Macaca fascicularis: one gene and its partners. The protein of the gene in region 3 interacts with the protein of the main gene of each other region in a pairwise test. Links are inferred from orthologs where the notes say so. Each region holds a gene or a part of one and is shown on either strand. Other genes may lie near its edges. The genes, in order: SLC41A2, GALNT2, KASH5, TMEM11 and NRIP3.

Evidence for each region.
Region 1: the proteins of KASH5 (region 3) and SLC41A2 interact in binary tests that used the Homo sapiens proteins (3 or more experiments, as listed by UniProt). The two-hybrid records come from large-scale screens. The link is inferred for Macaca fascicularis from reciprocal best matches to the Homo sapiens genes KASH5 and SLC41A2.
Region 2: the proteins of KASH5 (region 3) and GALNT2 interact in binary tests that used the Homo sapiens proteins (3 or more experiments, as listed by UniProt). The two-hybrid records come from large-scale screens. The link is inferred for Macaca fascicularis from reciprocal best matches to the Homo sapiens genes KASH5 and GALNT2.
Region 4: the proteins of KASH5 (region 3) and TMEM11 interact in binary tests that used the Homo sapiens proteins (3 or more experiments, as listed by UniProt). The two-hybrid records come from large-scale screens. The link is inferred for Macaca fascicularis from reciprocal best matches to the Homo sapiens genes KASH5 and TMEM11.
Region 5: the proteins of KASH5 (region 3) and NRIP3 interact in binary tests that used the Homo sapiens proteins (3 or more experiments, as listed by UniProt). The two-hybrid records come from large-scale screens. The link is inferred for Macaca fascicularis from reciprocal best matches to the Homo sapiens genes KASH5 and NRIP3.

Annotation. Positions count from the first base shown.
Region 1 is NC_088385.1:111,887,397-111,892,312, reverse strand, and holds the start of SLC41A2 (solute carrier family 41 member 2), read left to right. Parts: upstream 1-1,908; 5' UTR 1,909-2,009; intron 2,010-4,916. UniProt on the Homo sapiens protein: Acts as a plasma-membrane magnesium transporter. Can also mediate the transport of other divalent metal cations in an order of Ba(2+) > Ni(2+) > Co(2+) > Fe(2+) > Mn(2+).
Region 2 is NC_088375.1:19,043,412-19,048,409, forward strand, and holds the start of GALNT2 (polypeptide N-acetylgalactosaminyltransferase 2), read right to left. Parts: upstream 3,194-4,998; 5' UTR 3,118-3,193; coding exon 2,992-3,117; intron 1-2,991. UniProt on the Homo sapiens protein: Catalyzes the initial reaction in O-linked oligosaccharide biosynthesis, the transfer of an N-acetyl-D-galactosamine residue to a serine or threonine residue on the protein receptor.
Region 3 is NC_088393.1:57,356,421-57,360,666, forward strand, and holds part of KASH5 (protein KASH5), read left to right. Parts: intron 1-115; coding exon 116-193; intron 194-205; exon of another isoform or gene 206-276; coding exon of another isoform or gene 277-468; coding exon 469-525; intron 526-841; coding exon 842-901; intron 902-2,192; coding exon 2,193-2,257; intron 2,258-2,421; coding exon 2,422-2,509; intron 2,510-2,973; coding exon 2,974-3,096; intron 3,097-4,246. UniProt on the Homo sapiens protein: As a component of the LINC (LInker of Nucleoskeleton and Cytoskeleton) complex, involved in the connection between the nuclear lamina and the cytoskeleton.
Region 4 is NC_088390.1:20,622,350-20,626,595, forward strand, and holds the end of TMEM11 (transmembrane protein 11, mitochondrial), read right to left. Parts: intron 1,250-4,246; coding exon 733-1,249; 3' UTR 345-732; downstream 1-344. UniProt on the Homo sapiens protein: Plays a role in mitochondrial morphogenesis.
Region 5 is NC_088388.1:56,829,227-56,833,935, forward strand, and holds the start of NRIP3 (nuclear receptor-interacting protein 3), read left to right. Parts: upstream 1-1,538; 5' UTR 1,539-1,610; coding exon 1,611-1,784; intron 1,785-4,709.

The DNA of each region.
Region 1 (4,916 bases), on a different chromosome or scaffold from region 3:
CAGCATTACTACACAGCCTCATTCCAAGCCACTTGCTTCACATTTGAAGTTGCCAGCTGTCAGACAGGAGATGAAGTAGCAATGGGATTGTTGTTGTCTGCACCCATTAGGACCCTGTTTTTCACAAGGGGGCATTTCCTCATCCGATTCCAATGTGAGTTATTTTCAGGGCTGAAATTTGATTTAAATTTGAATTCCAACTTGAAGCTTAACATAACTCCAAAGTACTACTTTGTGGTACTGAATGAAGAAGATAAGTAGAAGGTTGCCTGCCACATGCCATGTAATGCTCTGAAGGACAGTAGAAACCACCAGCTCGCTCAGAAAAAAATGGTGGAAGAATTTTCAAAACCAAGAGAGGCTGGCTTCTGTATATGCTTTGTGTAGAAATCTTGAAAGACTACACACTCAGGGGAGGAACACTTACCGGGTGGAACTTCTGCCAGACTTTCAAGAGCAGCTACTTTCTAATGATCTGTAATTCAAAAAACAACCAGAACAAAAACCAGTTGGAAATGCAGTCAAAACATTGCTTTTCCATATTCCTTGCAATTATACTTTCATTTTTAGGTAGTGAGGAACACCAGGATGAACCATTATAAAAAGCATGACTGCAGATGGCCAAGAGTGATACAGACGCACCCTTCACCCTGAAGGTGAAGGTTAAAGCTCAGAGTCTGATTGCAAAGGATAAGGGGGGAAAAAAAACAACAACAAAAAACAAAAAACAAAACCTGGATAAATGTATGCCGGTGTCCTTCAGCACCAGAAAAAGCTGCTACTAAATCACTGGTGTGGGTTGGAATTGGTAGAGGCTTTGATTTGAGGAAAAGAGTATCATTAGCTGTGTCATTTTGAGTTGTTTTAGAGACAAGGTCTCACTCTGTGTCCCAGACTGGAGTGCACTGATGCGATCACAGCCCCCTGCAGCCTTGAACTCCTGGGCTCAAGCGATCCTCCTACCTCAGTCTCCTAGCTACTTCGGGTCTCTCTGTGTTTACTCAGGCTGGTCTCAAAATTCCTGGCCTCAAGCGATCATCTCGCCTGGTCCTCCCAAAGTGTTGAAGTTACAGGCATGAGCCACCAATCAATCCTAGCAATAGCTGTGTAATTTGTAAAGTAACAGGCTTCGTACCAACACCTTGCTTTTGTTCACTGTAGTATCCCTGGGGTGTGTCTCATTCCCTGAATCATACACAGTAGATGCTCAATAAATAGTTTTGTAAATAAAATAAATGAGCTCTTGGATTTACCTGCAGACTTTGGATCAGTTTGATCTAGGTTTAAAAGCAAGTGTGGGGAAACTTGAAAAGCCTGGCACCCCAGCCAACTCCTCAGCGCCCCGTGTGCTTGGCGCCTACACCTGCCTGGCACGGGGAGGGTGCTACGGGGCTGCCCTAAACCTCACCCCTTCGGCGGTGGTCCCTGCCCTTCTCGGCTCCTGCACTGCCCACACTATGCGCTGCCGGGCCGAAAGACACGTGCTTCGGTTTTAACCCCTGTCTGCAAGAAATGTGACCTCAGCCAAAAACAGGCCGCTGGTCTGAGAAGAGAAATCATGAGTCATGGATTCGGGGGTTCGGACCTTGGAGCAGGCGGTGAAGTGGGCGTGCGTGGGCTGGTGGGGAAGAGGGCTGCGGAAGGACGCCACAGCCCTTCTCTCCTGGGCAGGATCCCCAGAAAACTGCCCCCTCGCCGTCGTCCAGCGCCCCCGTTCCCGACAGCTGTCTGCCAGGGCGCGGCCGGGGTCCGGGCGGGGCGGCGCTGTCGCTCCAGATCGCCGCCCCGCGGGCCACATCACCAAGGCCCGGGCTTCCCCGGCGGCGGCGCGGCTGCGCTTGCGCGGGACTGCCGCGCGGGGGCGGGGCGGCAGGGAGTCAGGGGGCCGCGGGCGCCGGCGGCCGGGCTGTCAGCTCTGAGACGCCGCGGAGCGAGGAGGCGCGGGAGCAGGAAGGAGCCGTGGGCTGGGAGCCGCTGTCCTCCCCGCCACCACCGGTGCTGGGGACTAGGTGAATGCCCCTTCCATCCCCCGCCCCGGGTGTCTCGGTCCGGTCTGAGGAGACGGGGACCCTTCTCCTCACACCGGCCGCTGCCGCCGCCGCGCTCCGGCACAGGTGACGGTGGAGGGGAAGTCTCGGCTTCAGCCGCTGCACCGCGTTCGGGCGCATCCCAGGTGCAGGAGGGAGGTGGGGCCGAGAGGCCTGGGCTCGGGACCCGGCGGCGGGGGCGCGGGGAGCGGTGGGAGCGGTCCCGCCCGAGTCGCCGTGCCCCCTGCGGACGCCTCCCGGGGCCGCCGGGTAGCGCCCGAGCCCAGGCCCCCGCGCCTGCCCCACATCGGGCGATGGGAAGCTGCTCCGCGGCCGCCGCGGATGAGCGGTCTCGGGCGCCCAAGGCAGGGGCAGGCGGCGGGTGGTTGACTGAGTGATGGCTGAAGGTGAGCTGGGATGGAGATGCTGCGAGGCTGGCTCGGGCACACCCCATATGCCTGTTCAGGGCTCCGCGAGGGCCCCGTCACCCTGTTCTTTCATTCTTCTCTTTATATATATGGAGGATATCTCAATTTTAAAAGCCCAAATGCTCATTTATAGAGAGAGATGACACGTATGTATGTGCTACCTATATACATTGATATGTATATTACGTATATATGTCATCTTTTTTTGTAGTGGACAATTTTTAAATTGAGATATACATCACATGCCATAAAACTCATTCTTCTAAAGTGTGGCTTTTAATATATTCACAAAGTTTTCCAAATATGACCACTATCCAGATCATCATCCCCAAAAGAAACCCTGTCTCTCTTAGTAGTCACTCCTCATTTCCCCTTGACCCCACCCCACTAGCCACCACTAATCTACTTGCTGTTTCTGTGGGTTTGCCTGTTGTGGAAATCTCATATAAATGGAAGCGTACAATATGTGGCTTTTTGGTCTGGCGTCTTTCACATACCGTAATGTGTTCAAGTTTCACTCATGTTGTAGTATGTATCAGTACTTTACTTTTTATAGCATATTAATATTGTTGTATCAGTGTACCACATTTGTTTATTCATCAGTTGATGAACATTTGGGTTGTTTCCAGTTTTTGGCCATTGTGTGTAATGCTGCTATGCACATTTGTGTACAGGTTTTTGTGGACATGTGTTTTCAGTGCTCTTGGGTATATATACCTAGGAGGGCAATTGCTCTGTGTTTAACTTTTTGAGGAACTGCCAAGCAAAGCAGCTGTACCATTTTACATTCCCACCAAGCAGTGTATGAGGGTTCCAATTTCTTCACATCTTCCCCAAGGCTTGTTACTTTTTACTGGTTATTTTTTATTATAGCCATCTTAGTGAGTGTGGAATGGTATCTCTTTGTGGTTTTGATTTGCATTTGTCTAATGAATGGAGATGCTGAGCATCTTTTCATGTGCTTATTGGCCATTCATATATTTTCTTTGGAGAAAATGTCTGTTCATATCTTTTACCCATATTTTAATTGGGTTGCTTGGCTTTTTCTTTTTCTTTACTTATTTACTTATTTATTTATTTATTTATTTTGGAGACTGACTCTCAGTCTGTCACCCAGGCTGGAGTGCAGTGGTGCAATCTTGGCTCACTGCAACCTCCACCTCCGGGGTTCAAGCGATTCTCCTACCTCAGCCTCCCGAGTAGCTGGGACTACAGGCATGCACCACTTTGCCTGGCTAATTTTTGTATTTTTAGTAGAGACATGGTTTCACCATGTTGGCCAGGTTGGTCTCCAACTCCTGAATTCAAGTGATCTGCCCACCTCGGCTTCCCAAAGTGCCGGGATTACAGGCATAAGCCACCGCGGTCAGTCTGGGTTGCTTGGCTTTGTATTGAGTTTTATTGTTCCTTTTTTTTTTTTTTTTTTTTTTTTTTTGAGACGGAGTCTTGCTCTGTCACCCAGGCTGGAGTGCAGTGGCCGGATCTCAGCTCACTGCAAGCTCCGCCTCCCGGGTTCACGCCATTCTCCAGCCTCAGCCTCCCGAGTAGCTGGGACTACAGGCGCCCGCCGCCTCGCCCGGCTAGTTTTTGTATTTCTTAATAGAGACGGGGTTTCACCGTGTTAGCCAGGATGGTCTCGATCTCCTGACCTCGTGATCCGCCCGTCTCGGCCTCCCAAAGTGCTGGGATTACAGGCTTGAGCCACCGCGCCCGGCCCTATTCTTCCTTTATGGAAAAAAATTCTATTAATAGGTTTGGATACTGGCACTGACTTGAAAAAACTCCAGCCAATCTGATACTGAAAAACTTAATGCTTACTATTGGGTAAAGGTTGAATAAGTGCCACTTCAGTCTGTAAGAATACCCTATGTGTTCATTCTTGGACATCTTACTGCCCCTTTACATTTACTGCCCTGGTGTTTTGAGCAAGGCTACAGAAGGCATATTCCTGACTGGAGTCAAGAGAGACCACCCTTAATTGGTACTTTCATATATTCTATGCTCAATTTGAAAATCCCTGTTATCACGTTAATTGCAAGTAATTTATATTGGTGGCCAGCTGAACAAACTAACAATAAATGGCAAGAACAAATTACTCAAATTTTTATATGTTTAACTTCTCAGTAAAGTGGAGAATCTTGTTTTCTTAAGTTTGTGCAGTGTAGTTTTTATTACAATTATGTTCACGTGTGGGTGGTAAATAACTATTTTTGATGGCACAAAGGTTAAGAGCCACTTACAGCTAAATGAATGCTGCTGTGCTTATTTCATGGTTAATTTCTGAGTGCACACAAATTCACCATCAGGTCTTTCATAGCAAAAAACACCTAAAAAGTCCTGATGTTACCTCCCAGGAATTCAAACTCAATTTTCCACTGATCTAATATGATTGTTGATAAAGAAAAAAGTTATCCAATGATACTTGTTAAAGCATGGTAAAGAAGTCTATTCAGGACGACTG
Region 2 (4,998 bases), on a different chromosome or scaffold from region 3:
CCATCCACTGCCAGCATACCAAAGCCCAGGGGAGACTTAACATGCTTAAAATTTTAAAGCATTTAAGAAGCTCAAAGGAAAGGAACCCTTGAAGTGCAAATCATCAATTTAGGAGGAAAGAGCAAAATATGGGGGGAAAGGGTATGGACACAAATGTAAATGAAATGTAATTTTAAACAATATTTTGCATAAACTGCTTTAACAGACATGTCCTCAACCTGGGTGTTGAGTCCTGAGTTGTGCGGCAGTGCCTGAGATTGGTTCTGAGCGCTCCCTCCTGCTTAGTTTATTAAACCTGCAATCTGAGGTGAGCTGGCTCTCTGGGTTTTGCCAAGTGGAGAATAACAGTTCTGTGATGAGTTACTTAACAGGCAGGGCACACAATGACAAGCCTGGGCTGGGCTGCTGAAGCAGCAGAAATCCTAGTTGGACTCCCCTCAAACGATCCCCAAAGCCCCATACTGCAGCCTTGTACCCTGTGAAAAACGTTAGGATGTGCAGAAATTGGCTAAATATGGAATGAGAGCCCTGACTTGAACAGTATGAGGCAAGAGAAAAATATAGGTCCGCTTATCTCTAAAAAACTATAGCGAGCTTTTAAATTCTGCCTTTCTGTGCATGGCCCGCTATCTTTTTTTATGTCCATGCTTTACAAGCCAAACAAACCACGTGCTTTTTTTTTTTTTTTTTTTTTTGGTATGAGAATGAACTAAATTTAGAGACACTTCTAGTGTCTAAATCCATGGAAACAATTGGGGAGGAAAGAGGACTACACGATTTTCCTATAGATCAGGCATTTTCCTATAGATCACGATTTCCTATAGGATCAGGCATTCCTATAGGTCAGCCCTATAGATCAGGGCTCTATTTACCCCCTTCAGAAACCATCTTCCCAGGGTCCACCACACAAAGTTAATGAGTCCTCCACTGCAATTTCAAAAGCTATTGCATTTACACACCTCTTCCTCAACTGACAAATCACTAAAGCATTCTAAGGGCTAGGATTAAATTTTATGGTTCGTTGACAGAAAGAATAGAATCCCAAATCACCAATCTATGTGTAATTGTTCATTTCCCCCACTTTTTCTACCTGGTCTCCGTACCTTTCCATATTGCCACCAGGAATTCTTTAAAAAAATAAAAAAGAAAGAAAAACTAAGAATCACACACTTCAGGAGTGTCGGAAGCCTTCTGCATGGAAGACCCCTCACACCATCCAGCAACTGAAGCCCACCAGAGTGAGGAATCAGCCTCCGGGAGGGGAACAAGCAGGTTTGCTCTTTCTAATCACGTGTACTAATGAAAGTGGCAGACTAAGGAAAGAGAAACGCCAAGGGTGGCTTAATGTGTTTGGTTTTCTTTGCATGAAAGGCAGAAAGCTTTGCCAGGTCTCACCAGCACACCAGGCTATGCAGAGTGGCCAAGGCACAGTTTACTGGGAAACAAAGTTTTAAAAAATCATTCCAGTTTGACACGATTATATCTTTGAATGGACTGCACGACTTTTGATGGCTGCATGTTCTTTGCTGTTCAAGAATAAACCAAGTCTTCGCATACATATACTACCTATACCATTTTTTTACAAAAACAGCGCTAACAGTACAGTGTCAGCTCAGAAGCTAGGCCGATTCAGCACGTGGAAAGACGGCTTTATTTCACAAATCCATGTAATTTACCAGAAACCAAATAAGGCACTCATTCCACCTAACATCTTCGGCTATGAATGAATGAATGAAGCAAAGAAAAAGCCTCTGAAGCAGCCAAACCCCAGCGTGGACATTTAGGGGTCTGACTTCAGAACTGAAGTCTGTTCATCTAGTTAGTTCCCTCTGGCTTGTTTCAGCATACCACTCTCTTGTTCCAACCCAATCACCCGTTGTCCATCTCCATTAACTCAGAATTTCCTGGGTTTGCGGTGACACTAAATGTCACAGTAACGAGGAGGAATTCGGAAAAGAGAACGCTGCTTTCAAAGCCAAGGAGCCAGTAAAACACTACAAACGTCCCCAGCCGGCATGCTCCAGCCCACAGCCCGACGCCCTGCTCTCCCGGCCGGCCGCAGGACCGCACCGTCCCGGCTCCTCTCAGCGCTCAGCATCCTCCCGAATGCCAAGGGCCCGGCCAGCCGGAGCGGCGGGACGAGGGCGCGGAACCGCAGAGCGGCTCACACGGTCCCCATAGCCGGATCACTCGGCCCCCGGAGCAGCTTAGAAACACATCCATAGAAGAAGGATTCTCCCTGAAGCGGGGAGTGGGGATGGAAAATGCAAGCGCAGGAGGCCACGTCCGGCTCCTCGCGAGGGAGGGCCGGGTGCCCGGTTGGGCAGAGGGTAACACTGGGACCGCAAGGGGACGGCCGGGACTGCCCTCGCTCGGGGCGCAGGGGCGCACTAGCCCCCGGATCGCACGGGCCCTGGGGCTTTAGTTGGCACGGGAGTGGCCGCCCCTGCCCCTCAAAAGGTAAAGGGCAAAGAAGGTGGCAGAAACAGGGAACCCACGCCCCGCGGAGTGACAGGGGGAAAGGGACGAGGATTTTCAGCCGCTGGTATCAAAGGGCTGAAAAGAAACTTGGACTCCTCTCTCCCGCTGTACATGACGCGTTGGAAAGGCGGTCGCCTCTCTCTCCTCTCCTCCCCACCCCCTTTGTGTTTCCCAACACCCCCATCCCTAAACTTCCAACGGCAGGGGATGGGGCTCCCGGCGGCCGGACAAGACTCGAATTACGACGAACAGAGAGAGGGGTGACGTCCACGAGAGGGGGCGGAGGGGTGAGAAAGGCTGCGGGGGCCGCCCTCTCCGAGCCCGGCGTGCGCAGAGGGGCCGGGTGCACCCGTGCCCTGGGCACTTGGCGCGGAGGCCCGGGACGGGGGCGGGCGGCTCGAGCGGAGGTCTGGGCGGAGGAGCGTAGGGGCGGCGCGGAGCGGGCAGGGGACAGGGGCGCAGGGTGGGGGTGGGCGCAGGGGCCCGGGCGCGGCAGGGCGCTCCACTCACCTTCCTACCGGCGCCGCCGCCAGCTCCCCCGGCCAGCGCGGAGCCGCCCCCCGAGTACATGTAGTAGGCGATGCCCAGCACCCACAGGAAGGCGAAGCAGAGCAGCATCCGCGAGCGCCGCCGCATTCTCCTAACTCGGCCGCCGGCGGGCCGCCGCTGCTCGCGAGTGCTGCCTGGGCCGGCCGCGGGCGCGGTGGGGGCCGGGGGAGGAGCGGAGGAAGGGGAAGGGCGCGGCGGCGGCTCCTCCTCCCGCGCGGGGCTACTGCTTGGCGGCGGCGCGCACTCGGCGCCCGAGCTCCGCCCCGGGCCGGCGGCGCCGCGCGGCGCCCGAGCAGGAAGCGGCGGCCTCGGAGGCGGCGAGGGGGGTCAGGGAGCAAAGGGCGACCAATCGGCTGCGGCTGCGGGGGCCGGGGCGCGGGGCGCGGGAGGGGACTGCCGCGTCTCCATGGCTGCAGCACGCCGGGCTCAGTCGGGAGGGCCTGGGCGCCGCCCCGCCCCCGGCCGGCCTCCAGCCCGCCCGCCCGCCTCCTCAGCGTGCTCCCCCCGCCGGCCGCCCCCTCCCCCGTGAGTGACAGGTGGCTGCCCCGGGACCCGTCTGGAGCGCGCGCACACGTGGGCACAGAGCCTTGCTCACGCACACGGGGCCTCTCGGTTACGGGGGCGGTAGTGGCCCCGGCGCTTCCTCCCCAGACTGTCACCTCTTCAGCCTTGGTCTTTGGGGCCACCTCAGACCCTTAACGGGCTTGCTCTTATTGGTCAACTGACCTGAGTTTTTGGTGCAAACCGCCCGCCTGAACCCGACTTTGCTGCTGCTTGCTGCAGTTTTCTCACTAATCTTGCAGCAAAACATTCCTGACCCGCTGGTATCGGTTTTATTTATCTATTTAGGCAGATGTGGAGGTTTTGAGGTAGGAACTGAGGAGGTAATTTTCAAAAGAACATTTTTCTGTGGGTGACAGAGCTATCAATGGTAGAGTTGTTCTTTTCAATAAACGCGAAATGAAGAAGAAAGAAAGCAATAAGATATTGTTTAAAATCTTTTCATTCTTATTCATTGCTTTCTTTAAAAAGCACACCAAGCATCTTTAATGATACAAGAAAACGATCTGTCTTGTAACAGAATCTGTTAACCTTGGTGATGCCCTTGTAACACGCAGTTTCCAGTGTTTCCTAAGGAAGAGAGAAATTTTACTTAGAACTTGATATGTTAAATGTTGCAGGAGCTTCTCAGAGGATAATGGCAGCTGCCTGAATATATCCCTACCCATATCCTCAACGAAACAAAAACAAACAAGCCTTCAGCATTACTTAGAGAGAATACCATGAACTGAACATTAAATTACTTAAGTAGAAGAAAGAGAAGACATCAAATTCCAACTGAGCTCCCTCCACTATTACCAATGACTTAAGTGAAGTGCAGGGTTGTCATCTCTTTATAAATAGAAAGTCCAACACCAAGAACTAAAAACTGAACAGAGGTCAGGTGCCTTGTTGATCAAGGGAAGAGATTTGAAAGAAAATGGGACAAGAGGTGGGAGCCTTGAAGGAGCCTTGCTTCTGGGAAAAAGTCAGATAAATACAAAAAAGATAATGTCCTTCAGAGGCCTGGCAATGAAGGGAAAGAAGGAAGTGAGAAGGGAAAATTACAAATCCTGCAGAAATAAAAAAAACCGCCAGTCCCCTCCCCAAACACCAACATTATCTATTAAAAACTGCATTTCAGTACACAGATAAAAGAGAACACTCTTGAACTGGGAACCCTGCCTCAAAATGACTAGTAACAGAAAAACATCAAATCAACTGCATATAAAGATTCTGCAAAAAGAAAACAGAAAAATAATCACATTTCTGATGATAAAAAAAAATCATAACATTTTCGCTGATGAGAACCCCCACAATAAAAACCATGAAGCATAAGAAAATTGTAACAGCACATATCGAACTGAACGAAGTGTCATGTATTTGTATACACATACACACACACACACACACAGCTAGAATAAGAAA
Region 3 (4,246 bases):
GAAGTGCTTAGCATGAGGCCTGATGCATATCAGTCAAGTGTTTAGCAAATGTCTGCTGTTAATTTTAACATCACCATTTGCTGAAGTGAATGTGACCCGCCATTCCTTCTTCTAGAATGGGAAACTGCTGGCGGAGCGGGATGGAGTGAAGAAGAGAAGTCAGGAACTGGCCATGGAGAAGGACACTTTGAAGGTGCCACTCCTTCCTAGTGCCTGACAACTTTCCACCACCCTGGGGCCATTTTTCCCATTTCCGGTTTTAGTGACTGCAGCCTGATGAGAGCAGGGTCTTCCATCAAACTGTCAGACTCCCAGGACCACCCAGGCATCCCTAAAATCCCTGAAGTCCCGGAACATCTCAGGAGGTTGAATCGGCGGGGTGCGGGAGAGCAGGGCAGGCCAGACGGAGGGCAGGACCGAGGGGAGTCCTGGGAGGTTGGATGGATGGACCGGCTCCTTTCTTGGCAGCGGCAGCTCTTTGAGTGTGAACACCTCATTTGCCAACGAGACACCATCCTCTCTGAGGTGAGGAGCCCGGGGAGGGAAAGAGATTTGCCTTCCGTGTGCGCCAGCCACTTCCTGCCCCTGGTCTAGAAAGGGAAGTCCTACTTGGGTCTGGTCCTTGGATGTGCAGGCGGAGAGATTGGAGGGATTCCCCAGGTCCCAATGTGACCCCTCAGGGATCTAGAAGCCCTTCTGCCCGGTGCTCTCCCTTGGGCCCCAGCTCTTCTCTCAAGCTCACCCTTGTCCCTTAACCCCCCCAGCCAGTCCCCCCACCACCACCCCCCACTATGTCTTTGGGGAACTGGTCCCAGTCTCATTTGGCTTTCGGCTTTCCCAGCGCACTCGCCATGTGGAGAGCCTGGCCCAGACCTTGCAAGAATACAGAGTGACGACGCAGGTAACTCAGCGGCCCTGGCCACTTCTCTTTTGCCATCTCTGGGACTTGCTGCCTCTCCTCCTCATCGCTCTTTCTCTGTCGGTGGCCACATCTTGCTTCTTCTATCCATAATGTATGACTGTATGACTTACTGTGTGTCTCACCCTCTGTTTCTCTATCTGCCTTTTCACTTTTTTTCTGTTCCTTCCATTCACTTTCATTCTCTGTGGGTGTCTTCTCACATACCCCTCCTTATCTTTTTTTTTTTTTTTTTTTTTTGAGACAGAGTCTCGCTCTGTCACCAGGCTGGAGTGCAGTGACGCAATCTCGGCTCACTGCAACCTCTGCCTCCCAGGTTCAAGCGATTCTCCTGTCTCAGCCTCCCAGATAGCTGGGACTACAGGCGCACGCCATCATGCCCAGCTGATTTTTGTATTTTTAGTAGAGACGGGGTTTCACCATGTTGGCCAGGATGGTCTCGATCTCTTGGCCTCATGATCCGCCCACCTCGGCCTCCCAAAGTGCTGGGATTACAGGCGTGAGCCACCGCGCCCAGCCTCCCCTCCTCATCTTTATGTGTCTCTGCCAGGCTCGTGTGGGTTCCTGTCTCTGCCTCTAGGTCTAGGCTGTCTGTCTCCCTAGGCAAGTCTTCTCTGTTTGGCTCTGGTCTTTACCAGTCTCTTAGCCCTGGTGTTTCCCTTGCCTGTCTGTGAGTCTGTTTCCATTTATGTCTTTCATTTTTTCATGCATCACTGCCTCTGCCTTCCTTCTCTTAATTTTCTTGGCTGTGCTTTTTGTTTTGTTTTGTTTTGTTTTGTTTTTCTTTTTTGAGACGGAGTCTGGTTGTGTCGCCCAGGCTGGAGTGCAGTGGCACAATCTTGGCTCACTGCAAGCTCCTCCTCCTGGGTTCAAGCGATTCTTCTGCCTCAGCCTCCCAAGTAGCTGGAACTACAAGTGCGTGCCACCATGCCTGGCTAATTTTTTGTATTTTTAGTAGAGACGGGGTTTCACCCTGTCAGCCAGGATGGTCTCGATCTCCTGACCTCGTGATCTGCCCTCCTGAAGTGCTGGGATTACCGGCATGAGCCACAGCTCCCGGCCTCTTGGCCTGTGCTTTAGCTTCTGGATTCCTGTTGCTCTCTGTCTCTCTTTGGCTTCCTAACATTCTGTCATGGCTTTCTGCCCTTTGTCCCCAGGCAGTGTGTGTCTGGGGAGGCCAAAGTAGTCAGGAAAGTGGAAAGAACCCTGGAAGAGGAGCCCAGGGATGGGAAAAATGGAGAGCCAGATGTGCCCCCCACTTCCTCCTTTGCAGGAACTGAGGCTGGAGATTTCACGCCTGGAGGAGCAGCTGAGTCAGACCTATGAGGGGCCCGATGAGTGAGTGGAACTTCATAGGGTAGGAGGAGGCAGGAGGGGAGCCTAAGAGCAGAGACACCCTGGTCTCCAGCCCCAAGGTGGGCAGGGAAGGGAGGCCAGCATGAGCCGACTGAGTGGCCCCCAGGCACAAAGGCCGCCTTCCTCCCTCCTCCCTGTGTGGCCAGGCTACCTGAAGGGGCCCAGCTGAGAAGAGTGGGCTGGACCCGGCTGCTGCCCCCATCGCTGGGCTTGGAGATCGAGGCCATTCGACAGGTGGGCCTAACACCCCTGGAATAAGCTGCAGGCCACCAAGGCAGGATCTCCAAACATCTCCCCACTCTGATCCTCACACCAGCCTAGCCCTAACCCACATTGCTGCCAGAGGCTCCCATCACAACCTTAGCTTTTCTCTAACTCTATCTCGGATCCTAACCCCAAACCCACTGCCAGCCCCAGGCCTATGCCAGACCCCAGTCCGATCCAGCTGTGACTCACCCCTATCTCGTCTCCCTCCATGACCATCTCACTCCTTAACTTCATCTCGAACCCAGACCTCGGTCCTGGCAGCAAACCCTCCCCTGTTCCTGCTTCTGCCCACTCCCCACACCAGCCCCACACCAGCTCTTTTCTACCTCTCATCCTATTTTCAGCCACACACCTAAACCCGTTTCTGTCTCTGACCTTGTCTTCTACCTTAACATGGCTCTCCCTGACCTCGGAAACACCTTCTGTCCCAGAAACAGGAAGTGGCAATTGCTGGTCTCTCCAACCCTCTGTGTGGGGTGTGGCAGTGGGAGGAAGTCATCCATGATACCAGTGAGGATGCTGAGTTTCCGTCTGAAGCCCCAGCTGGGGGACAGGTGAGCACAGGAAAAGCTCTGAAGTCCAGGAGCTGGAAAGGGGCCCGGAGCGCCAGGTGCCGCCCTGGCCAGCCATTCACTCACACCTTTGCTTGTTCCCCATTTGATGAGAAAATGTTAATTGAGAGCACACTGTGTGCTGGACACCCAGCCACAAGCCAGACCAGACACCACCCCTGCCCCAGGGACTGACCTGCCAGCGTTGGAGACAAAGGTGAACAAAGCAAACACACAAATTGCACTGTGGCTTTTCGTGTCGTTTTGTTGTTTTAGAAAACACGCTCAGGAATTGCGTGATTTAAAATTGTACTACCGTAGGAAGGGAATAAGCAAGTTGTTTATGCTAACATTTTAAGGATATATTAAGCATTTATGTTTCAAATATAAGTACCTTTAAGAAAAACCAGCAAGCTCACTATGACATCTTTTTTTTTTTTTTCTTTTTCTTTTTTTTGAGGCGGAGTCTCGCTCTGTCGCCCAGGCTGGAGTGCAGTGGCCGGATCTCAGCTCACTGCAAGCTCCGCCTCCCGGGTTCCGGCCATTCTCCTGCCTCAGCCTCCCGAGTAGCTGGGACTACAGGCGCCCGCCACCTCGCCCAGCTAGTTTTTTTTGTATTTTTTTAGTAGAGACGGGGTTTCACCGGGTTAGCCAGGATGGTCTCGATCTCCTGACCTCGTGATCCGCCCGTCTCGGCCTCCCAAAGTGCTTGGGATTACAGGCTTGAGCCACTGCGCCCGGCTACTATGACATCTTTAACTCAGCAATAACCATTGGGTTTTTTTGTTTGTTTTTTGTTTTTAGAGACAGGATCTTGTCTTATTCTGTTGCCCAGAGTGGAGTGAACTTGACTCACTACAGCCTCAACCTCCTGGACATAGGCAATCCTCCCACCTCAGCCTCCCAAGCCACTGGGACTACAGGCACCTGCCACCACACCCGGCTAATTTTTGTGTTTTTCAGTAGAGACAGGGTTTCACCATGTTGGTCAGGCTGATGTTGAACTCCTGGTCTCAGGTGATCTGCCTGCCTTGGCCTCCCAAAATGATGGATTACAGGCATGAGCCACTGCACCTGGCTTTTTTTTTTTTTTTTTTTTTTTTTTTTTTTGAGACAGAATCTCACTCTCTTCTCTGTTGCCCACGCTGGGGTG
Region 4 (4,246 bases), on a different chromosome or scaffold from region 3:
GGGATCCTAGCGCCCAGAGTTCCCCACGTGAACCCAAGTGAAGACCCAAAGGCCTCCAGGCCTCATCGCCTTATCCTACCATGTTCCTGAACAGCATGGTAGCAGTGCTGGCCTTCGGAATGATGAGGCCAACGCGAGCCAGGAGACTGCTCCTGCGCGGGATTTGGGCCCAGGACTACCTCGGATCTAGGCTTGTCGTCGCTGTGACTGGTAACACTGGGCCGCGGCTAGGAACGGGGCAGGGTGGCTACCACAGCACCCGCTGCTTCCACGGACAAGCCGCCACCTAGAGCGGATGTGCAGCAGCAGCTGCAGGCAGACATGGACAGAGAGAACAGCGGGAGTTGAAATTCTCATAATTTTAATGGTCAATAGCTTCTGGTGGGCTCTGGATGGTACAGTTAAACAATAGACTTAAAGACCTCCCCCAAAGCACGTCCGCACCCCCTCAGCAGCGTGTGCCTCCATCAGCGTTCCACTGCCCGATCGGACTTCCACAGCCTCAGACCCCCCCCTCTTGGGTTATGGAAATCCACATCTTAGTGTGATGAGCTGAAAAACCCTGGGTACACCCGTGATCTGTTATTTTTTTTAAAAACAACGAATATTAAGCCAAACACCTTCCCAGGCTCTGCTGCCTCACAGAGTGAGAAACGTGACCGTGGCGATCTGAAGACTCTGTTGTCTCTTGTGGGCCAGGTGGTTTTTGCTTCGCTCCCTGTTCTACGGAGATCATACGGCATAGAGTTCGTAAATCTTCTTTACACAGTACGCCAGGGCGGCCAGTGCTATCGTGTTGTGCAGTCTCTTTCTGTGCAGGTCGTCCTTCCGGACCAGCACCACTGGGGTGGAGGAGGTGAGTGTGTGCAGAGGCAGGCGCGACAGTTTATAGGCGTCGTACTCCACTTGGTACTTGCAGCAAGGGTCAAACTGCCAGGAGATCCCATAGAGGGTGCAGCAGGCCAGGCTCAGCACACCAGCGGGCAGGGAGATGTAGTGGGAATAATCTAAGGGCAGCGCCAACGGGGTGAAGAGGCAGGCGGTGCCCGCCAGCACGGCCGTCTTGTGCAGGCAGTTGCCCACGGTGATCCAGCGGGCCGTCTCGTCGCCGATGCGCGTGGGCTCAATCACAATGTACTTGTACTGGGCTTCCAGGGCCTGCTCCAGCTCGTACTCAAACTGGTCTTGGGCATTCTCCCCATTGTAGATCTCGTGCACAATGTAGCAGTCTGTGGCCGACAAGCTCACCCTTTTGACGGAGGGGGCGGGAGAGGGAGAGAGAGAGAGAGGATGATTAGGCTGAGCAGCACTTAACTGTGTTTCGATGCTGGGGGAGGTCTGAGCCTGCACTGCGGAGAGCACATCTCCCTGAGGTCCTTATCTCCTTCAGATCCCAACACAAGACAATCAGTAAAAAGTACTTTTCCTGAAATAGTGAAATAAGCCTGGGCGCAGTGGCTCACACCTGTAATCCTAGCACTTTGGGAGGCCGGGGTGGGTGAATCATGAGGTCAGGAGTTCAAGACCAGCCTGGCCAATATGGTGAAACCCTATGTCTACTAAAGATACAAAAAATTAGCCAGGTGTGGTGGCGCATGCCTATAATCCCCGTTATCTACTCGGGAGGCTGAGGCAGGAGAATCATTTGAACCTGGGAGGCAGAGGTTGCAGTGAGCCGAGATCGTGCCATTGCACTGCAGCCTGGGTGACAGGACGAGACTCTGTCTCAAAAAAAAAAAAAAATTTAGATATAAAAAGGCAGGAAAAGGAGTACCTCGATGTTTACAAGAACAAACGCAGGCCTGGTGGTTAGCCTAAGGCTGTGGACCAACTGATCTGAGTCAGCAAAGGAGCCTAAAGGGGAAAGAAGGATTCGCACAGTCACATGGGCGCACACGGCAGCACGAGGCCAACAGCCTGAGAGCCGCTCTTAATCAGGGCAACTGCAGGAGGATTCTCACTGCAAACCACAGGCCTCAGGACAGATCATGCTAAGCCCTTGCCCTCCACATGGTTCCTAAGTAGTCATCCTGGGCCCACAGAACAGAGGCACAATGGAAGAGCTCTGCCTTGGGCAAAATCCAAACTCCTTTGGCTCTCCTGGGAGGCCGGGCTGCACGAGCCCTGGGTGCCCTTCCCGGATGGCAGCAGCCTCCTGCTCCTCCCCACCGCGGAGGGGAGAACAGGAGACCCAGGACACTAGCCCACTGCATAGGAAAAGCGACCCTTTCCCTGACTTAGGAAAAGACGACACTTCAAGGACAGTAGCGGCCCCCAAACGTAGCGGGCAGGAGGGTCAACTGAGGGGCTTCAAAACATCCAGCCAGCAATGCCACCGATTCCGGCCCTGCAGGCCCAGGCCCCTGCCCCACCGGCAAATGCCACTCATTTGCATCAGAAACACAGCCACAGAGACCACACAAGGGGCTTTCCCCCTGGGACTGGGGTGCATGCCATGACCCCAAGCAGCAGCAGATCCACCACATGGAAGGCGCAGCTCTGCAGCAAGGCCAGACAGCAGCCTGGCGGCAGCTCCAGCAGTGACATGTGGGCCAAGCTGCATTTTAGGCATTCTGGCTTTTCTTGGTTTCAGGCCTTGCGGTCCAAATTTCCCACCCAAAGCAGAATCTTCTTCACCTGTGGCGGGCAGGCCTGAATACAGGGCTACCCACGCCTTGTCATTTTTCCTTGGCTGGTTTCAGCTGAGACAGATCTTTTTTTTTTTTTGAGACGGAGTCTCGCTCTGTCGCCCAGGCTGGAGTGTGGTGGCCGGATCTCGGCTCACTGCAAGCTCCGCCTCCCGGGTTTACGCCATTCTCCTGCCTCAGCCTCCTGGGTAGCTGGGACTACAGGCACCTGCCACCTCGCCCGGCTAGATTTTTTGTATTTTTTTAGTAGAGACGGGGTTTCACCGTGTTAGCCAGGATGGGCTCGATCTCCTGACCTCGTGATCCGCCCGCCTCGGCCTCCCAAAGTGCTGGGATTACAGGCTTGAGCCACCGCGCCCGGCCAGCTGAGACAGATCTTTCTGCATCTCCGCAACGCCACTCTGCATCCTGCTTTTCCATTATCTGCTCATCCGCGAGAAGTCTTGATCTGAGCCCTGACAGGGACACTGCTAGACACAGCTCTTGAGGCTGGATCAAGTTTTCCAACTCATGGCTCCTCCGGCTGGGCAGAGCCATGCTCCTCAGTGCAAAGCTGCCCCTTCCCTCAGCACACCCCGGTCCCCAGGACGGTCAAACTCATCTGACTAAAGGACACGAGGCTCTAGGGACCTGCTGGTCACTGCTCCCCTGCCGGAGTCCATGCCCCTCCCACTGGGACGCTCTGGCACAGTGTACTAGGCCACACAAGGGTCAGCGTGGCCCATCTACCTGAGGCTCTGACAGGAACTAGCTTCCTTTAGGGGCCAACGAGAAGCACAGCCCTCAGTGTGCACAGACGCGAAGGTCCCGTCCGCCCGGCCTGTCCTGGCACGCACACCTGGCTGCCGTGCAGAGGAAAGTCATGGGGAGCTGAGCCACCTGGCCATCGGCCATAACATGGGAGCGACGAGTGAAGACTCATAACAAGCCACCCTCAGCCCAGCATGAAGGTAACTCCCTCCAGCCTCCTTCAAAGATGGGAGCAGTTCCAAGTGAAGGATGGTGGAAATCCGACTGTCAGGGTAAACTTCAAGGAAAAAGAACAGGCAATCACGGTCCTCCCTACAACTGAGACTCCTCTCAGCTCAAAGCTTTCAGCAAACAAAGAAGCAAACCTAACAGGCTGGGTTTCATGCTGGCTGGATGAACAACTGGTGAACGATCTTATGTGGCCACATTCAAGATGAAAGTCATTAGTAATGGGCTGACTGTGCCCCCAAACATGGGGGCCCTACCCCCTGGGTGGGAACCACTTTCATAAAAGGCACTGGCTTGGACCTGGGCAAAGGGAACTCTTTATCCTGCAAAAGTCACTGTAACGAAGCTGGGCTAAGGCAAAGCCTCCTAATTCAATCATAGGCCCTCATTAAACTGCATGCACTGGGGAGAAATCAGTTCGCTGCGGGTGGGACAAGAGCCTCCTAAACTTGGGTTGCTGCCAAGCCGCCTGTGACTGTGTGCCAGTGTCGTGGCTGCCTTGCCAGGGGTGAACTGATGAGCTGTTACTGTAAGACTGCACGAGCAGCTTCTGTGGGGAAAGGAGGGGTTGCCTTCTAAAGCCCTCGGTGGAGTTTTTCCATGTGGTCTGAGAGGAGAGG
Region 5 (4,709 bases), on a different chromosome or scaffold from region 3:
CTGAGGTCTGGAAGAAGCATAGGAGTTTCCTGAAGAAGGTAGGAGGGGACACTGCACACAGAGGGAGCAGGACAGTCAAAGGCAGGCCATTTGGCAACAGGTGACTGGAAGGAACTGGAAGAAGGGCTATGAGGCTGAAGCACAGAGTGGATATGCAGGGTCTAGGCAGACCATGCAAGAATGTGGGTTTCTCTTAGAGCAATAGGAAGCCTTTTGAGGTGCTCTTAGCAGGGAAGTGAGATGATCACGCTTATGGTTTGAGAAGATTACTCTGGCAGCACAGTGAACAACGGATTGGAATGGAACTAGGGAGCATTCAGGAGGCCAGACAGAAGGTATCAGGTATTTGCCTGTAAAATGGGGGTGATGAGAATATACAAGCTGTTGCCAGGATCCAATGAGATACTACATTTTAAGTGTCTATTCCAGTACCTGGCACATAGTAAAGGCCCAGTAAGCGTCGATATTGTTACTTTTATCATTGGTTCTTTGCTGAGTGCACATATTTCTCATCCAGGTCTGCTCCTGTGTGATGGGGTGGAGGGGGTTGTTGTGGTTTCCAGAATGGAAACGTGGTTTGTGCCAAATCACAACGTCGAGACCAGAATCCAGGATGCCTGAAACCTGATTAGAATGGCTTAAAAATATGTATTCAAGAAGAAAAACGGGTTCCAATCGCTCCTACTAAGGACGCTGGAGGGACGGTGAATGATTCTTTAGATGGTAAGTCCTAGTACTTGTTGAGAAAAACAGGTGCTTCTCTGGTCGGAGAGCAGATGTAGGGCTCGCAGCCGCGTGCGCTCCCGCGGAGGTGGGGGACCCTCGCCATTCCCCTGTTCTATGCCCGCCCGCGGGCTTCCGACCGCACCTGCTCCCCCGGCTCGGAAACGCAGGCCGGGTGCCCGGCTGCAGGCAGAGGGTGCCCGGGGGAGGAGGTCCCGAAAGGCTCCTACACACGCCTGCACCGGCTGCCCCCTCCCCAGTCACGTGGCCCGGTGGGTGGGGACCGACCTGAAGTTGGAAAAATCCCGACCGCTCCCAACTTCGGAGGGAGCCGCCAGTCCTCCGGGCCCGGGCGGTGGGCGCTGGAGCCCCGGCTGGCGGCGTGGAGGTGCGTTTCCGAGAAGCCGAGCAGCGGCGCGGGAGGCGGGACTCGAGGCATGGCCTGGCTGTCGGTTATCCCCGGGTCGGCCACGGCGTGGACAGGTGAGCTGGGACCCACGGCCAGCGGCGGAGATGGCCGGGGCTGCCAGGGCATCGGGCCCCAGAGCCCACACCCGTCCAAGGGATGCGGGGCTCCCACGCAGGAGGGGGCGGTTGGGTGAAGAGGCCGCTGTGGATTCTCGGCCCGCCGGGTCACTCCCACCAGCGCCGCCGCCTCCTCTCCCGCTTTGCCACCGGGTGAGCAGGGCACGCGGGACGCCAGGGAGCCTCGCGGGACGTGGACTCTGTGCCGGCCCCGCCCCCCGCGCGCGCACTGGCTGCTCCACGCGGCGTCACACTCGGCTATAAAAGGCGCGGCGCGGGGCCCTTGCGGCGCTGGAGGAGCTCGAGCTCGAGGCTGAGGCTGCTGGGGAGCCGCGGGCGACCGGGCCGCCGGCGTCTCAAGGATGTTTTACTCAGGGCTTCTCACTGAGGGCGGCCGCAAGGAGACCGACATGCGGGAGGCGGCGTCGCTGCGACAGCAGCGCCGGATGAAGCAGGCGGTGCAGTTCATCCACAAGGACTCCGCCGACCTGCTGCCCCTGGACGGCCTCAAGAAGCTGGGCTCGTCCAAGGACACGGTGAGCCCCCGCCGCCGTTCTTGCCCTGGCCCCGGCGGCTTCGCGCCCGCGGTCTTCCGAGGCCCGGCCGTTGCGGCTTTCACTGAGTCACCGCCCGGCCCGCCGCTGCCCTTGGCTCGCGGTCGCTGCGTCGCGGATTCCTCCCCTTCCAGCACCCCTGCTGCGGTTTTGGTGGGGATTCCGTCCTAGCTTTTCAGCTCGCGCTCCCCTCGGCTGTATCTCCTCCCTGGATGTCTCCTCTCCAGAGGAAGGAAGAGGTCCTGCCCTGCCCTCTTGCCCTCGGGTCTTCTTTCTCTCCCCTTATTCTTAATACCGAATTTTGTTCGTGGGGCTTGTGCCTCCTACGCTGTGTGGCTGGTTCTATGACCCAGACAGAGGTGATTCCTAATGACTTCGTGTGAGGGGGAAAGAAGTGGAAAGGGATTTTTTTTTGACAGTTGCCAGATCCAGAAGATTTTTGTTGAATCCATTGTCCCCCTATGCAAAATCCACTTCTCTAGTTTTGGTCCTATGTACCTTTGACCTTCCATCCTGAGTGGGGAGAGAGAAAAGGGGTCGAATGTGAAGGTTTCCTGAACCCCCAACATCTCTTCATCATTCTCCTCTTCCAGCCCCGCCCCCAAGGAGTGAGTAGAGGGAGGAAGCCAGGCTGCTCCATCTTACCGACCAGCTAATGTGTGCATTTGGGGCTGGGGTGGTTGCAGTCTTTTTTTCTAGCACGGTTTTTCTTGGCATTAAGTAGAAGCACCCCAGGACAGGAGCCCTGGGGTAAAAAATGGTACTGTCCTCTTTCTATAGAATGAAAGGGTGACCAATATAAAGAACTGTATCTGTCATCCCTCAGCCTCTGTAGTGGTCCTGGGTCAAGTTTATGTTTAACTTTGTAGTTTTATCTGGAATTTTCTTGTAGTTTGATTGTTTTCTTGAATTTCACAATCGCTTTGTTCATTTGGGTGGTAATGTATGAAATGCTAATTAAATGTCTTTTAACAAATGAAATAGGTGCTCTGCATAATTTTTCTAGTATTTTTTATTTTAAGCTTTTGAAATGTTTAATTCTGGATGTGGTTGTTAGCTCTAATTCATTGAAATTGCCATTTCTGGCCCCAGGAGGGCAGAGCTTCTGCATCCATTTCCTTTTTTTTTTTTTTTTTTAATTTAACAGCTCTAATGACACACAGGTACCAGTATAATTTTTCTCCTCCCTGCCATTAGTTGCTTCTTTGCAGGGTTTGTCTACTTCAGTTATCTTGCTCTGTTTTTTGAAAGTTGTGTTTTTTTGTTTTGCTTTGCTTTTTGCACAAGCTGCAGGATAGTTTCCCTGATTTATGCTAACCCAGAGTGATGAGTGATTGAAATGTGCTCCTGCAAAAGAGGTAACTCTCTTTTCCCTTCTTTTACTTTAAAGCAATCTTGATTCATTTAACAAATCAGGTTCGAGAAATATTCTTTCCTTCAGGCCAAATAATCCTATCCTAGTTCCTAGAATGCTCGTCAATCAATAAAGAAGGAAGTATTATATTAAGAGAAGAATTAAAATATGGAATTTTTAAATGCTGGATTTGGTTGTCCTTGGTTGTCAAGGAGTTTCCTAGCCCTGAGAGCTACCTTAGCTTCCTTCTGCCTAGGATTTCTTATACTACTTCATGCTGTGTAGGAATTCCATCCACTTTTCTGACTCCAGTCTGTCTCAGTTGAGTCACGAAGGGCTGATAGCATAGAGCACAGGCAGCAGGCTGCAAAGAGGAAGGAGCCTCAAGAAGCAGGATATTGCCTTGAGTATGACACATACACATGGCAGTTGACTGTGAGGCTCTGAATCATGGTTCATGCTTTCTGTGCCCCACCGTCATGGAGTTGATTTCCCACTCTCACTGTTTTCACACCTACAGTGTACAAGTGATTGCACAGAACAGCCAGATTACAGAAACCGAGGCAGACTGAGGTAGGGCTAGGAGAGCCGCAAGCACTGGGGTGAGGCAGCATGCTTAAACTCTTGGAACTGTTGTTGCAGCCTCAGTACAATCTTAGAAGTGACCTTAGAAGTACATTATTATTGTTTTACTTTATAAATACATCTGGGATAGACTAGTGTTGACTCAATTTTCTCTCACTGCAAGGGAAATTTGGAGGATGCGAAAATTAATTGAATAGTTCTTACTTGAAGTAGTTTATAGTATAATCTTGACAGAAGGGGTCCAAGAAAAGGGAGAGGATAGCATCAGAGGGAGATAAGAGAGAGGAAAACTTAGTTGTAATTGACTTTTGGGTTTGTGAAGGTTGTAGGTTGTTTTCCCTCAAACTAGTAACAAACATTTAAATTATACTGCTGGGATTTCTGAATTATCTACCTCTTACTATGCTGTTTCTGTAATGTTCACTGCTTGATCAGCCTGCCAGCCCTTTTAGGACTGGCAGAAGGCAACCATAGGAAATCAAAGGGGGTCATGTTGTCTTGGCCCCAGGAAAGTGCCTTTGCCTATTTCTGTGTATATGGAGTTGGCTGATACAAAGTCTTCTGTGGAAATTATATTTTTGTCTGGCCCTTTTGCATTTATCCTTTTATCTTATATTGTTCATTCTGTATTAGATTAAGAACTAAAACCAGAGATATGAGTGAGTAATATTATATTTGATTTTTTTTTTAAGAGACGGGTTCTCACTTTATTGCCCAGCTGGAATGCAGCTGCAGTCACATCTTACTGTAGCCTCGACCTCACAGGCTAAAGAGATCCTCCCATCTCAAACTCTTGAGTAGCTAGGATTACAGGTGCATACCACAACACTAGTCTAACTTTTGTATTTTTTGTAGAGATGGGATTTTGCCGTATTGCACAGGCTGGTCTTGAACTCCTGGTCTCAAGTGATCTGCCCACTTTAGCCTCCCAAAGTGCTGGGATCACAAACATGAGCTACCACACCCAG